Mus musculus: one gene and its partner. The protein of the gene in region 2 binds, or shares a complex with, the protein of the main gene of each other region. Links are inferred from orthologs where the notes say so. Each region holds a gene or a part of one and is shown on either strand. Other genes may lie near its edges.

Region 1 (7,411 bases), on a different chromosome or scaffold from region 2:
AAAAGAGGTACAATGTTCATGAAAGACTTAACACTACACATTCCACCCTCTAGAGGGCAACAAGGAGCTTGACAATAACAACGGGGACTTGGAAATCAGAGTAAACTCTAAACTCAGTAAACTCTGGTCTTCCACCAGGGGCAGTGATCTGGGGAGACCTAGGTAGCCTTGGATGGAAGGTCTAGAAAGCCCTGAATCACAGCAAGGTATCAACATGGGAGGAGCAGGGATTCCTGTAGGAAGCAACTCAATGACAGCAACCCACCCAGAGACCCATCGAAGGCAGAAGCAGGGATGCTGGGGACCCTGTTGCCTAGCATCCCTCTGTTGTTTGACTCCACCGCTGCCAGCCACAGCACAGAAGGACCTGAGGTTCCATCTCACACTGCTTTTAGACTCTGGTGTGTATTTATCTTGTTTGTAGAAATCGCTACAAGCATCCACACTGTTCCATCACTCCTTTTGAACCTTAGTTTCCTCCCCTGAAAGTAAGAACAGGTATTCCTGCCTCCCTGTTAGGAGGAAACAAATACTAAAACACTCTTGTAGAGTGTTGTCTAAATACAGGGCATTCTTCTGGCTTGTACTATTGCTTCTTTGTAGACTGTGGGTAAGAGAATAACATTCTATTTCTTAGGCTGGACAACAGTATCCTTCCACTATCTGTCTCTCTCTCCAAAGGCATCACTGAGTCCTTTACTCTGGTCATAACATTTCATCAATTAGTTCTCACAGCAAACCCTAGGGGAGGTGTGTGCTATCCGGCTCCATTCTACAGAAGAAAAAGCCAAGGCTCAGTTCTCCATTAGGCATCCATAACTGCCTTTCGTAAGAAAGACACCGTCCCTGCTCTACAGAGTCATCCTCTAGTTGGAAACCCATCCAAACCTCACAGATGAACTGGCAGACCCCCACATCCAAACTCAACTCCAGTTGACGCCAGTGGCTACACTTTCAACTCATCTCTGGAGTTGCCTTCATCTTCCTCTCCCACTCCATCCTCTTTAACGACACAGTGGTTGCTAGCACATTCTTCTAGCTGAAACAAGGTGCAAGGGCCCTTGCCATGAAAGCAAGTGAGAGCTGTTAGCTTCTTCGGTCCATGTGATCCTCCTGCAGGATCATTGGAGAATTACTAAGGGATTGATGAATGCACACAAAAGGCGAGGCACCCCACTCCCTACCCCACCCTGAGCAGCATCAGGAGCATTGTCTCCTAAGAGTGTGTGGCTGAGTCCTCTGCCACCATTAATGGCAGAAGTGAGTCACTTATAAGTAAGATACAGAAGCTTTGTTATAATTACATCCCGAGACTCAGCAATGCTCCGCATCACTGTGAAAGAGAGGGCAGCGGGTGACTGGGGCTTGAATGATCCTCTGCCAGGTACGGCTTTCAGATAAAGCGTCTTGGATCAGGAGCAGTTACAGCTAATGCCCAGCCTGAATGCTAATGAGAGTTATTTACAATTGCATGTAATTCTTTGCCATTTATACGCTCCAGCCGCTCCCCCCACTCTTCCCGTCCTTTCTTTGCCTGTCTATCTGAGTTAATCTTGAGAAACAGACACTGGTAAGGATGATTCATGGCCATTTCACAGATGAGGATACTGGAGTCCACGGTTATTCAGGTCTCAGGGACGAAAATGAGTTTCGACCTTCAGTATGCTTCCCTGGGAGGGAGAGCCTGCAGAACTCTTTATGCTTTCTCCTTGCTCGGAAGGCATGTGGTATCCCCACAGCCAGCCGCACGCACCCAGAGGCAGTGGCTGGTGTCCTCTGTTGGGACAGCTGTGGCCAGATCTTGTGAAATAGACCAATAGACCTCACACATGCCCTTTAACCCTGTGACTGTCAACTCGTGCCTCTTCCTTGGAGAACCCAAGCAATGACCACACAGTTCAAGTCCAGGCTGAGAGACAGGAAACAACTTCTCGGCCCTCCAATCCAAGACTCCCCAAGTCCACCCCAGCCTGACCACATCCGTTTAGAAAACATGTGTTTGAATACCGCCCCGGATCCATACCACACAGGAGCACAGAACTGAGCCTGCCAGGAGAAGGAGACAGGTCTGGGTGGCAGTGAGAATGACAGCAATGTCTGGAGCGTCCCCGGGGCCTGGCCCTGAGGTGGCTGGCTGAGGAGTCCTCTACCTGTTAGAATTAGAGGCTACAAGAAGGACCTTTTTACCATATACAACATCTAACTAGATCTGCCCCATTTTTACAGCTGAGAAAGCCATGAGGCTTGGGGCTAGAGATGTAGCTCAGTGGCCGAGTATTTGTCTAGCACGAACAAGGCTCCCCAGGTGGATTCCCAGCATCACAGAACAAAACCAACACAGCAAGGGGTGCACAATGTCCAGGAGCTCAGAGGCTTGCCTCGCTGGGTCTGTCAGTGTCACAGTGACAACTGCTGCTACTACTTTGGTGAATTACAAGGTATCTTTGCAGTGCTGTATCAATGTGGCATGGTTAATTCCTCCACCCCCGCGCAGGGAAGAAGGAACCATGAACATCTCCAATCAAAACATGGGGAAACAGATATATGTCAACGGCGCATAAGAGACAGCATGATGACCGGACCCAGAAATGTACCTTCAACCTCTCCGCCATGCCTTGGTACTGAGGAAAAGCCACGGTGCCTCTGCCAGGCGTTCCTTGACTATAGAAAGGAGTGTAGGCAGGAGAGTTCACTCACAAATGCCTCCCCACAACCCTCAGCTCAGGGCTGGGGACCCCGTGCAGGCCACGACTGCCCAGTGTTGGGGGAGGGGTGCTAGGATCGTGGCAGGCAGCACGGCTCTGAAATCATAAATGGGGAATACCCAGGTTTTGCGGGTCTTTGACATATTTCAAAACAGCATCAGTCAAACCCTGTCTTCCACCAGGAGCAACGTTCTGGGGGCAGCTAGGTGGCCCTGATGGAAGGTCCAGCAAGTCCTGAGATACAGCAGGGTATCAACATGGGCGGAGCAGGGATTCCTAGAAAGCTACTCAATGACAGCAACCCACCCAGAGCCCCATCGGAGGCAGAAGCAGGGATGCTGCGGACCCTGTTGCCTAGCATCCCTCTATTGTTTGTCTCCACCGCTGCCAGCCACAGCACAGAAGGACCTGAGGTTCCATCCGCCTCTTGAGTCTCACTGATAATTTAAGATACAGGCAAGATTGGTTGGTACTCAATCCACTCCACCACGGACCAGCTGGGCAACTCTAAGCAATCTATTGAACCTCTCTGAGTGTCCACCTATCGCTCAATAACGGTACCTTGCATGGCTGCTGTATAAACTATGTTAATCCATAACCATCTCATAACCATGGGGGGGGGGGCTCTTTCTCTGTCTCCAAGGATTGCCGGTGGCCTTCAGGCCCCCAAGAGTGTCGGATCTCCACCTACTCTCTCCTTTTTGTTCCAGTAACACACTTCACCCCTGGTTCAGGGTCCTGCCCTTCCTCCTCCCCACCCCCCACCCCCCAATAACAGAACGCGCTCTCAGAGCAGTCAGCCTGGGGATCTTCCAGTTCCCTCAGCTCCATTCCGTCTGGAGGTGGGAGCCCCCTGTCGGAGGAGAGCCACCCTGCCTGGAGCAACCCTGTGTCTCCATCGCCCAGGCTAGCAAGCGCCTCAAAGGTGGCTTCTGTAAAGATCAGTTGTGCTCTGATTCAAGACTCTAACTTTCAGAGCAACACGGCGTAAATTGCAGAATTTGGTATCCCCTAACGCTCTCTGGGAAAAGGCAGCCCTCAAGGATCTTCTCTGCCATCAGAACACACCCTGGCCACAGTATCAAGTCTTCTGGCTCGGCCAGGAAACGACGATAAAGCCGGCTAGGAAAGGAGGGAGCGCTGGCTCAGACGCTTCTCATACCCAGACACCTGGTTTGGGTTCCACCTAGCTAAGAAGCTTGGATTCATCCAATTCAGTCTCAAGGCTGTTCTCTAAGAGACAACTTTCCCTCCCCAAGCCTCAGTTTCCTCCTCTGTAAAGTGGGTATACTAGTAGTACCTGGGTCCCGGAGATTCAGAAGGATTTGAGATAGTGGATGTCCGGAGCTTGGCACGGAGATCGCACCTCAACCCAGAGTCTGCGTCCACGGTTAGCATCAAAGCCAAACCCTGAGGAATCTCGGGGAGCCGTTGAGGAGGCCCCCTGGCCCAGAAATCGGAGGCGGACTCTAACCGGTGAGCCCGGCCCCAGCTCCGGGAAGCCACAGGTGTTTGTGCTTACGGGCATAGCAGCCACAGCTCCGATACCCTGCCCAGGCCGCTAGAGCATCCGGCGCGCCCACCTCGTGCGGCCACCTGCGGGATGTCCCCACCGCCCTGCGGGGGCGCGGAACTCAGAGCTGGGCGTGCGCGCATCCTTGCCCTCCTCCCGCCGCCCGCCACCGGGTTCCCGCCCCTGCCCGCGCTGCGCTCCGACTCACCCGCGCCAGCTCCGGGGAAAGTTTGGCGGCGGCGGCCAGACTGCTCGGTGCGGTGGCGGAGGCGGCCGCGGGGGTGGCGGGAGCACGCGGAGGCGGCCTCGGGGGAGGAGCCGCTGAGAGGCCCGCCCACCAGCAGCCCCAGGGCACCCTCCCCCGCCCATCTTCTACCGCCGCGCCCCGCATCTGTGGCGGAGCCCTGAGCTTGGCAAGAAGCCAAGGATGGATCGGAAGCCTGGCGACAGCCCTCCGACACTGCCACCGCATGCTAACCCGGGGACACGCAGAGCCACAGACCAGACCTCAGATAAGGAGGAGCTGACAGGATTCTTCGCAAATTCAACCGCAGGTGGACCAAGGGACTAGTTGGGTTTTTGTTTTGTTTTGTTTTGTTTTGTTTGGGTTTTGTTTTGGTTTTTTGTTTTTTAAATTAGTGACACTGATTGATCCGGATCACCAAGACTCGGGAGGTTTAGAACCGCACAACCACTGTTTCTCTAGATCCTGAAGAATGAATGCGCTCTCGCCCTCTCCCTCCCTCTTTCCCTCCTTCCCTCCTGTCCTCATCCTGCAAGTGCTATGCTGAAACTCAGGGCCTTGCGCTGAGCTATCCCGACCTTGTTCAACTCTCACTGTACCATTACACTTAGGAACCTGTGCCGGCTAAGAGGAGAAGGCGAGAGTGTGTTTTTGTGTGTGTGTGTGTGTGTGTGTGTGTGTGTGTGTGTGTGTTGGGGAAACTTAAGGAACTGTTTTTTTGTTTTTTGGGTTTTGTTTTTCTGAGCTAGGAGAGGGCGTTTCTCCTTCTTTGCTAGGGAAAACCCTTTTAACATTCAATTGTGGCTTCAGATGGCAACAGTCAGGGAAGGGAGAACAACTGAGGAAGGGAAGTGGCTCCTCTTTGCTATGACACCGTGCCCCCTAGAAGGGGCTCATCCTCCCGCAGTGGTATGTAGTTGTGGGAATGCAGGCCCAGCCCTGTGTGGCTCAGTTCCAGACTTGTATGGATGTCTTAGTCCCCTCCTCGTAGCCCTGATTTAAATCTCAAACTACACCAGAAAAAAGAAGCAGTCATCAGCCCTATTTATAGATGATGGGCAGGTTTTGTAGCTTCTACCATGTCCTCACCGAGAACTGCACTTCTAGCCTACCCAGCCCAAGTCCAAAGGCCAAAGTTTTTAACACAGAGGGGCGGAGGACAAGTTAATGATGTCTTTTACACAAAGGGCTTACTTGGTAAGCACCTCGATATAGCCCTTGACCTTGAGCCTGTCTGTGCCTGCCTGGAAGGTGGGACTCCAGACTCATTTGAAATGCCCTTAGGAACCCAGGCAACAGGTGGCTGAATTCAGGTCAGCTGGCAGACCTGGGTGCCAACCCTGCCAGACCCTGACCCTCTTTGACCTGTACCTCCAGAGACCAAGGAGCCCAGGAATCCACAGCACGTTCTACTTCCAGTTGCTACTCTAGGGCCTCCATATTTACACTTTGTGGGACTAATGCACTGTTTGGAACTGAAGGAGTGACCAGGATCGCACCTGTTATAAACTGTAAGGCAAGATATTTCCTCTTCACAGCTGTGGAGTTTACAGGAGTTGGGGCGTATGGCAGAGAGCCTTGGAAATCATCTCTCTTCTTCCTGAAAGTCAGCAGCGCCCGATAACTTGGAATTCTGCTTGAGAAGGTTTCACTTCCTAAGGCCTATTATGGTCTTGTTCTACCCATGGGATTTTTAGAAAAATCAGCATTTTAGAAACAGTGTATCAGGCATTATTTGAAGCTTCTGTTGTTTTTTGGGTTTTGTGTTTTGTTTATTTTGTTGTCATTTTGTGACTGACAGAGCATAGGGTAACCTGGGCCATGTCTAGCTGAAGTCAGCCAACTACCAAGAGGTAGGTAGCAAGTGAAAAAACAAGGCTAGTCCTCTTGTCCTCCTGTCCTCCTGTCCTTCCATCCAGTGGAGGCTCTTCCCTGAGAGGAGTCAACTTGCCTGCTTCTCAGAGCAGCTCAAAGGGAGGCTCTGTCTTCATCTGGTTTGCAAATGAGAAAACTGAGTGTTCTTGATTGGCCAAGCCTGAGTCACATGCTGATGGCTGGTCTAGTCAACTGCTCTTCAGACACTTAAGATTAAAAGAGGGCAAGAGATGGCTCCCCAGATTCAGGTGTGATGAGCAGAATGTGGCATTGGATCTGGGGATTGCAGGAGTCCCCTCTCTCCAGAACTGTTTTTGGGATTGGGTCAGTGTGTGTGTGTGTGTGTGTGTGTGTGTGTGTCTGTGTGTCTGTGTGTGTGTGTGTCTGTGTGTCTGTGTGTGTGTGTGTGGTGTGTGTCTGTGTGTGTGTCTGTGTGTGTCTGTGTGTGTGTGTGTGGTGTGTGTCTGTGTGTGTGTATCTGTGTGTGTGTTTGTGTGTGTATGTAGGTCAGGGCAGCCTTTGGCACTGGTAGGTGCTCAGTAACTGAGTGACCTCCCTTCCTTCCTCTTCTGGAAAACAGGAACTGTGGCTCACCAAACCCAGGCCAACTTCTCCCTATTCACATAGGGAAACTGAGGAAGATCCATAGAAGGGACTTGTCCAAGGTACCCCAACCTTGTCAGCCATAGAAACATGACTGACTGGGTACAAATCCCACTGGAAGCTGTCAGCTGTCAAGTTGCAGCTCCACCACCACCAACCCTCTCCCCCCCCCCCCACCCACACACACTGGTGAGGAGGGAGCTGACTGCCTTCATAGACGAGACTGGAAACTCACAAAGCCTTCCCAACCCAGAGGAAGTGAGTACCACTTATGTTGGGCTCTCAAGTCATGCCACAAGCTCTAGACAACGTAGTTCTGGGCAGAGTGCCCAATCAGCTCCCACCCATTAGAGCTTACGTCAGCCAGTTCCTCAGGGGACAGCACGCTCTGGGTGCTGAGAGACCCCCAAAGCTGTTCTTATGAAACTGCCCAGATTAGACAAGATGGCTCTTTGCTTGACTGTTCCTCTG
Region 2 (6,840 bases):
TGGCTTAGAGGATACACTAACTGGCCCAATCAATCTTACATTACAGCACAGGCCCACAAATAGCTCCCCAGCCACCCTGGCCTCCAGCATGTTGCCATGGCAACAGAACCACAATTCTATAAATAGATCCTTAGCACCAAATCTTGTGAGAAGACATCTGGAGTGGGGCCAGCCAAACTGCAGCTCAACAAACACAAACCTGGCAGTTTAAGAACCAACCAGGTCCAGGCCCAGTGCCTCCAGCAAAAAGGCAGTTAGACAAATGAGCGGGCCACTGTGCACTCAGGCTGGGGAGAGGCCTCTTACACAACTTGAAAGTTGTTTTCTTTTTCTTGAAGTTGGTGCCACGTGGTACAGTGTTCAGGAGTAGATTGCACTGCTTTCAACAACAAGACATCCTTAAAGTGGTGTGATCCCCAAAGAACCTGGCTAAATCACTGTTAATCAGTTAGGAAACTGACCCCAGCAATTCCCTACCGGGTAGCTGAGCCTCCTCATCTTGTATCTGTACTTAACTCCTGAATTGGATCCAAAATACAAATCACAAACAATTCCAGGATCTCCATTTGTTTTCTGTTTCTATAATTAGTGCTTCCAGCTTTTAGTACAAACTTTTGAGAAAAATCAGGAACTTTGCTGGAGGAGGTGTGGGGGCTGGGGCCTGTGGGGCTGCTTTTCAGTTCCTTGAAAGAATATATAACTGTGTGTATTAAGTCATGACATGCTATATATGTAGCAACAAGTCCCCATGGGAGAGTGAGCCTAGGAAAGGGTCACTGTCCCCCTCCCATCATGAAGCTGAAGTGCCTTATAAGGTACTGAACAATAAAAAGTCTGTGTATTTTATATGAGGAGGCCAGTATGTGTTTGCTACACTGTGTGCGCCCCTAAATGCTTAGAGTTCATATCCGTGAGTTATACCACTTTATTACAAGTAAGTATTTTGCCTTGCTCTAGCAGGTATTAATTGTTTATGTAAAACAGTATCAGTGGTCTATAAAGTGCAATTAAAAGCTTTATAAAACAAATGAACCAGACTGGAACTCTCTGACTACTGGTGGGTTTGTAGCTTCCTGGCTTCTGAGCTTCTGTTTTGCCATGGGGGGACAGCTACTTACTACTGGGCACAGTCAATCAGCTGGTACTCATTGGAGCGCTCGTAGCAGGCACGCACTCCCTCATCCTCCCACAGAGCCTTGGCATGCTCATAGAATTCCTGAAAGAGAACCCAGGAAAAACGTTGGCTGACAGACTGAGCTCAAACCAATCAGGGACCCCACCCCTGGAATTCTAAGGCCATCGCTCGCTATGTGAGTCCAAGTGTGAGCCCCCGGGTTAACCAGCGCTTGGAAAGAGCCTGCAGTTCTGTTAAACTCCCAGAAATCTATATAATGAATTAGCATGCTTTCATCTCTGGGGAGTGCTCACAGTCTTGGGTGGCTGCTTCTGTTAGTCTTGTGAGGGGTGGGAGCAAACCAAATGAGTAAACTCCCCCTAGAATTATGTGTACAGGAGGGATATGTACTACCCTGTGGGAGGGACATGGGCCAAGGTTAGAATATTGTCCAGATATCAGAGTAGCAGATGTCAATGACATCAGATGCATTGTGGGTAGGCTGCCATTTTGTCTCTGTGAATCATGGGAATCAGATGACTATAGAATCCATGCTGTGTTTCCCTGTTGGGAGGGTTGGTTTTTGTTGTTGCTGTTGCTGTTGTTCTTATTGTTTTAATCAACAGCTATTTTTTTTTTAATGTACCTGCCTGTACTAATTTTTCTCACAAGTTTGTAGCCAAAACCCATCTAAAAAACACAAACCCCACAAAAGCTTAAGAAGAGGCAGCAATGACTTCTTAACTTTAGACAAGTCTCTTCTTTTGGCTTTAAAAATCTTTGCTCCCCCCACGAAGGGTTAAAGTGTACATATGCTTGACGCAGGGCAGTTCTACCCTCTCTAAAAAAAGCTTTTAGAAAGCCAAGAGACCCTTGTCAAGAGGGTCAGGCTCCCGGCAAAGGGCTGATGAGAACAATTTTTTTCTTATAATGTTCCATTTTGTAATTTATGTTTAGATCTGAACATTGGAAGGTGCATATTTGTACTAGGCTGGATTAACTGGACAATTAGGACTTGTGTGCCATGTGTAACAAACATGTGGTTTTGTCTGTCCTCATGTGTATGAGGGGAATAATTGAGCTTGCCTTAGCTCAGGACCTCTCCTCCATAAAAAAAAACTCACTATCTGATAAATGGAGGACTAGGTTGAGGTCTAGAAAAGGTGATGGAACTTTGTTCATCCATTTTGGACAAAGCCCTAATCATGTCTTTATCATCCTTTAGTCTTAGGCATATGCCTGGAGTTAACTTATGCATTCACACGGCAGGTATGTGTCTGGTCACTCTGGCCTGATGCAAGTCTGGCCCTCGTGTTCCCACTGGGACTAAGGTGAGAGGGGCAGAGGAAACCAGGGTTAGGGTGGAGCTTACAGGTGGGAAGTCAAAGTTCGGCACGTTCATCACGCTCAGAATGTAGTCCACTCTGAACTGGTTCTCAGGGTTGGCCAGCTCCACAGGGGGCACCAGGTTGCTCATGGCGGCCACAATGGTCTGAAAACAGTTTAGCAAATTGGTCAGGCGTGGGGGTGGGGGGGGCAGCACCGTGGGGCGAGGGGCTTGCTAAAAGATAAGAGCAAGGAGCTAGACACATACTTCAATGGCCTCCTTCAGGTTGTTTTTGATGTCCTGCACTTTAGTGGCCTTCTCACTACAGTGGGATTGAAAGGAAAAAAAAAAGAAAATCATATTGCATCCTGCCCACCAGGGTGTTATCGTCATTGAGACACGTCAACTAAAAAGCATAGTATTCTGTTTTCCAAGGAATTGTGGGCTAGATCTATAGATTGAAGGCATCCAAATAAAAATAAATCATAATTTCCCAATCATGTCCTGAGGACAGGCCTGATAAGGCTGGGTTAGAGACATGGCATCGAGATCTTGATTAACTGGACCAGAAATTGCACCTGGTCTACTGTCCATTCCAACCACACCCTGCTGCTTCCTGCGTGGCTCTTGATTAGCACAGGGAGGGTTGTATGGAGGTAGGGTTAGTACATGCTGAACTTGGGATTCAGTAGTTTGTGAGACCCAGAGGTGACAAGTGTTTATTATTGATATTAGGGTTTTCCATTTCCATATTTGTAGATCTAATTATTTAAGTATCTATGCATCTGTCACCAGGGAGGGAAGATGTTGTTTGGGGTTCTGTGGCTCACAGCACTTTTGAACAGGCCCCCAGTTGTGGCTAGGAGTCCTGGGTCCCCACATTGTTGGTGGGCATTGGGTTCATGGATACTGGAGGAGGAGTTGGCTAGATGTTTGCTTATTTAAACCAGCCTCTGGGATAACTTCTGTGGCCTTTCTGGGATGATTTGTATGCAGTCAGAGTCAGCGATCCCACAGGTCACAGGTCACATCTTCTGGTTTTGGGGGTGGATGGTGTCCCCCCCAGAAGGAATGCTAATTTATGGAGGTTACAGTGGTTCAAAATGCTGTGTCTTTTAGGAGACAGCCTATATGCCAGGCACAGCCATAGAGAATCTCGAGCTTGTACTTAGGGGAGCAGCAAAGCCCCACTTCCCTGCTTGGAGCAGACTCCATTTTGTCTGAGCCTAATCTTCTGCATGGCCAATGGGGGATTAGAAGACCAGCATGCACTGCACCCTCAGGGTGAGGCCTGGTAGCACAGAACAGGGCATTGGAGAGGAACAGACCCTTTCTGATAAGGAAACTGAGGTAGAGGACTAGGTGGCAGTGACAGAGGTAGGGCAGAGGTGCTTTTACTGACATTAAATTGAAGTCACAAGATAGCGAAAGTTAAATCACGCCCCCTCCCCATGGAACAGGGTAGAAAATTAATTAGTAAAGTTGCAAGATGGGGACCAGAGGCTACTATAGCCAGGAGGGGTGGCAGGCAGGCCTCAGGTGGAGATCTGGGGGGCCATGTGCCTGACAGAGGTGTAGAGATCTTGGGGCATGTGGATACCTGCCAATAGGGTGGGGTTCTGGGGGGTCATGTGGATATCTGCCAATGGAGTGGGGGTCATGTGGATACCCACCAATGGGGTGGGGGTCTGGAGGATCATGTGGATATCTGCCAATGGAGTGGGGGTCTGGGGGTCATGTGGATACCCACCAATGGGGTGGGGGTCTGGAGGATCATGTGGATATCTGCCAATGGGGTGGAGGTCTGGGAGGCATGTGGATATCTGCCAATGGGGTGGGGTTCTGGGAGTCATGTGGATACCCACCAACGGGGTGAGGGCCTGGGGGTCATGTGGATATCTGCCAATGGGGTGGGGGTCTGAGGGATCATGTGGATATCTGCCAATGGGGTGGGGTCTGGGAGGCATGTAGATATCTGCTAATGGGGTGGGGTCTGGGAGGCATGTAGATCTCCTAATAGGGTAGGGGTCTGGGAGGCATGTGCATTCCTGCCAATGGGGTGGGGGTCTGGGGGTCATATGTATACCCACCAATGGGGTGGGAGTCCGTGAGGCCATGTGCATACCCACCAATAGGGTGGAGACTTGGGGGACATGGGGATACCTGCCAATAGAGTAGGGGTCTGGCATCATGTGGATACCCACCAAAGGGATGGGAATCTGGAGGTGCCCACCAATAGTGGTGATCTGGGGGTTTCTGGGGTACCCACCAAGAGTGGGGGTCTGGGGGTCATGTGCATGCCTGTAAGTTGGGTGGGGTTCTGGGGTCATGTGCATGCCTGCAAATTGGTTGGGGGTCTGAGGCCATGTGAGTGCCTGCCAATAGAGTGGGAATATGGGGGTCATGTTCATGCCCACCAATAGGACCACACCCAAAGAACCCATTCTTTCAACAAAGACTTATCATAGCTGATATTTGGGGCTTTCTTTCCATGCAGGCTTGTGTATTTTGGGAGGGGCCCTGTGTTCTGAATGATCTCACTATATATTTTTTATTGGTGTCCATCTCTTAGGTGAGGGCCTGCAAGGTTTAGAGGTTGGGGGTGTTCTCAACAGGAGGGAGGGGGCGAGAGCTCGGCTACCAGGATTTTGACATGGCCATGACAGTGGGAAAATCAGAGCCCAACCCCTGCAAGCTGCCTCTAGCTCCACACTGTAATTAGAGCAAGCCCACCACTCAGAACAGGAAAAGAAGGCAAGAGGAAACCCTGAGTCCCCATGGCCACTGCAGGCAGGAGGGGCTATCCTGGGGCTGGGGCAAGCACTCAGGATGTGGGATCTGTACACACCCAAAAGCTGCTTGGGGCCCACAGACTCTTAAAGCTCCAGGTACCACCCAGTGTTTTAGAGACACGGCGTGCCCACCCTCAGAGGGGCTGATTCTGTTACGGTGTGAGAGGGGCGGCGCACGTTGAAGCTCAGCTCTGAAGTTATGCATTTCTGAGTTGGTTTTAGACTCTGGGACTAGCTATAGATGTCGGAGTCTAGAAGCATGTGTTTGATGCCCCCAGTACTCTAATGGAGAGTTCAGAGGAGCCTCCCCTATCCTGCCTTGGGGCTAATCTACTCTGTTTTTAAAAAATGGCTTCCTGCCATTGGTACTGAGCCCCAGATGCCTGGTTTTAAGGCCCCATAACAAAAAGAAATGAGGCTAGCTGGGTATTAACTACCCCCGTCGACATACAGGTAGAAGGAAGCATTTCCCCAGGGAAGAGTCTCCATTCAGCTTGATATTTCGTTCTAAGTAGTAGTATGATAATTGGAAAGCTTCCAGTCTTAAAATACAGATATTCTGAGAACGTGTTCAGCATTCATCTACGTATGTGAATAGGTGTGGGAGTGTATCCAGTATAAAACAGCTAAAATAGAAAATCTAAAATCTAATTCGGGCGTGTAGTACTAAAACAAACCTCTTCATTGAAGAGATTACTATGTAGATGAAGCCATCTTGCTGGGGCCAGCAGGTTTATCCTCATTTGTAATACTGCTTAATGAATTTAACGTTGATTGTGAAATTCAGAGAAAATTCCTTAGATGTCTCTAAACTACTTAACAGAGGCAAGATGTGTGCCCGGTTTCGGGATTCTAACTGACTGGAAAGTTGGAGTGGGCGGTATCTATAGGATGATGCTCCCCTCCCCGCTCCCCCCCCCCAAAGTGTAAGGCAGATTAGTGGGGTTAGCATTTTGTTTAGTAGGTCCTGCCCCTCTCCTGTTAAGTGGTAAGGGAAGGCTATGTGATACCCATCCTCCTCCTCTCTACCCTATCTTTGTGCTTGTGGGGAAAAGACAGACAAAAGAGCAGACAGAAGACAGACGCAAGATACAGGGATTGCTGAAACATGCAGAGAGTTTTATTTATCAGGAGCGTTAATAGTTATTTTTACTTGTAGAGTCATAGGAAGAAAGACGTGCAGGTATTAGTAAGGTTGAAGGGGTTAGCACAGCACACAATATATAGGAGGCTCTCTCAGTAGGGGCTTGCCACACTTCTCGGATGCCAACTTTTGGTACAGTAGATTATCAATATATCGATGCCTTTTCTGATTGCTGTTCTACTATGCTGTTGCCAATTAAAGACTTCATCCCATCTTTCTGTTTTTAACTTACGCCTAAAGGTTAGGTTAGGGACCCCTCCCCCCTCCCCCACCCCCCCCCATCCCCAGGAAAACAGAATAGTATTCTTATTAGTAGTTTCCTAAGACCGGGCAATTCCAGCATGCAAATTGGGATAACTGGGGTAGGACATAGCGAAGATGGAGGACTGTAGCCATCATCTAGTGGGGGTAATAGACTCTAAAAGAAACAGATGAACAAACATGTGTCAGTCACTTTGTCCCC

The links. The genes of interacting proteins can lie anywhere in the genome.
Region 1: the proteins of Gnas (region 2) and Hrh1 are in contact, whole or in part, in a cryo-EM structure (PDB 9LRB), measured with the Homo sapiens proteins. The link is inferred for Mus musculus from reciprocal best matches to the Homo sapiens genes GNAS and HRH1. Residues at the interface, in NP_000507.1 of Homo sapiens: Gln35, Arg38, Ala39, His41, Lys216, Val217, Asn218, Phe376, Cys379, Arg380, Asp381, Ile383, Gln384, Arg385, His387, Leu388, Gln390, Tyr391, Glu392, Leu393, Leu394; in NP_000852.1 of Homo sapiens: Asp124, Arg125, Ser128, Val129, Gln130, Pro132, Leu133, Arg134, Leu136, Lys137, Arg139, Thr140, Ile213, Ala216, Val217, Gln219, His220, Cys221, His223, Lys412, Ala413, Gln416, Leu417, Cys471, Asn472.

Annotation. Positions count from the first base shown.
Region 1 is NC_000072.6:114,395,014-114,402,424, reverse strand, and holds the start of Hrh1 (histamine H1 receptor), read right to left. Parts: upstream 4,490-7,411; 5' UTR 4,427-4,489; intron 4,340-4,426; exon of another isoform or gene 4,006-4,339; intron 1-4,005. UniProt on the Homo sapiens protein: G-protein-coupled receptor for histamine, a biogenic amine that functions as an immune modulator and a neurotransmitter.
Region 2 is NC_000068.7:174,337,576-174,344,415, reverse strand, and holds part of Gnas (protein GNAS), read right to left. Parts: intron 6,796-6,840; exon of another isoform or gene 6,326-6,795; intron 2,767-6,325; coding exon of another isoform or gene 2,764-2,766; coding exon 2,709-2,763; intron 2,607-2,708; coding exon 2,487-2,606; intron 1,217-2,486; coding exon 1,119-1,216; intron 1-1,118. UniProt on the Homo sapiens protein: Guanine nucleotide-binding proteins (G proteins) function as transducers in numerous signaling pathways controlled by G protein-coupled receptors (GPCRs).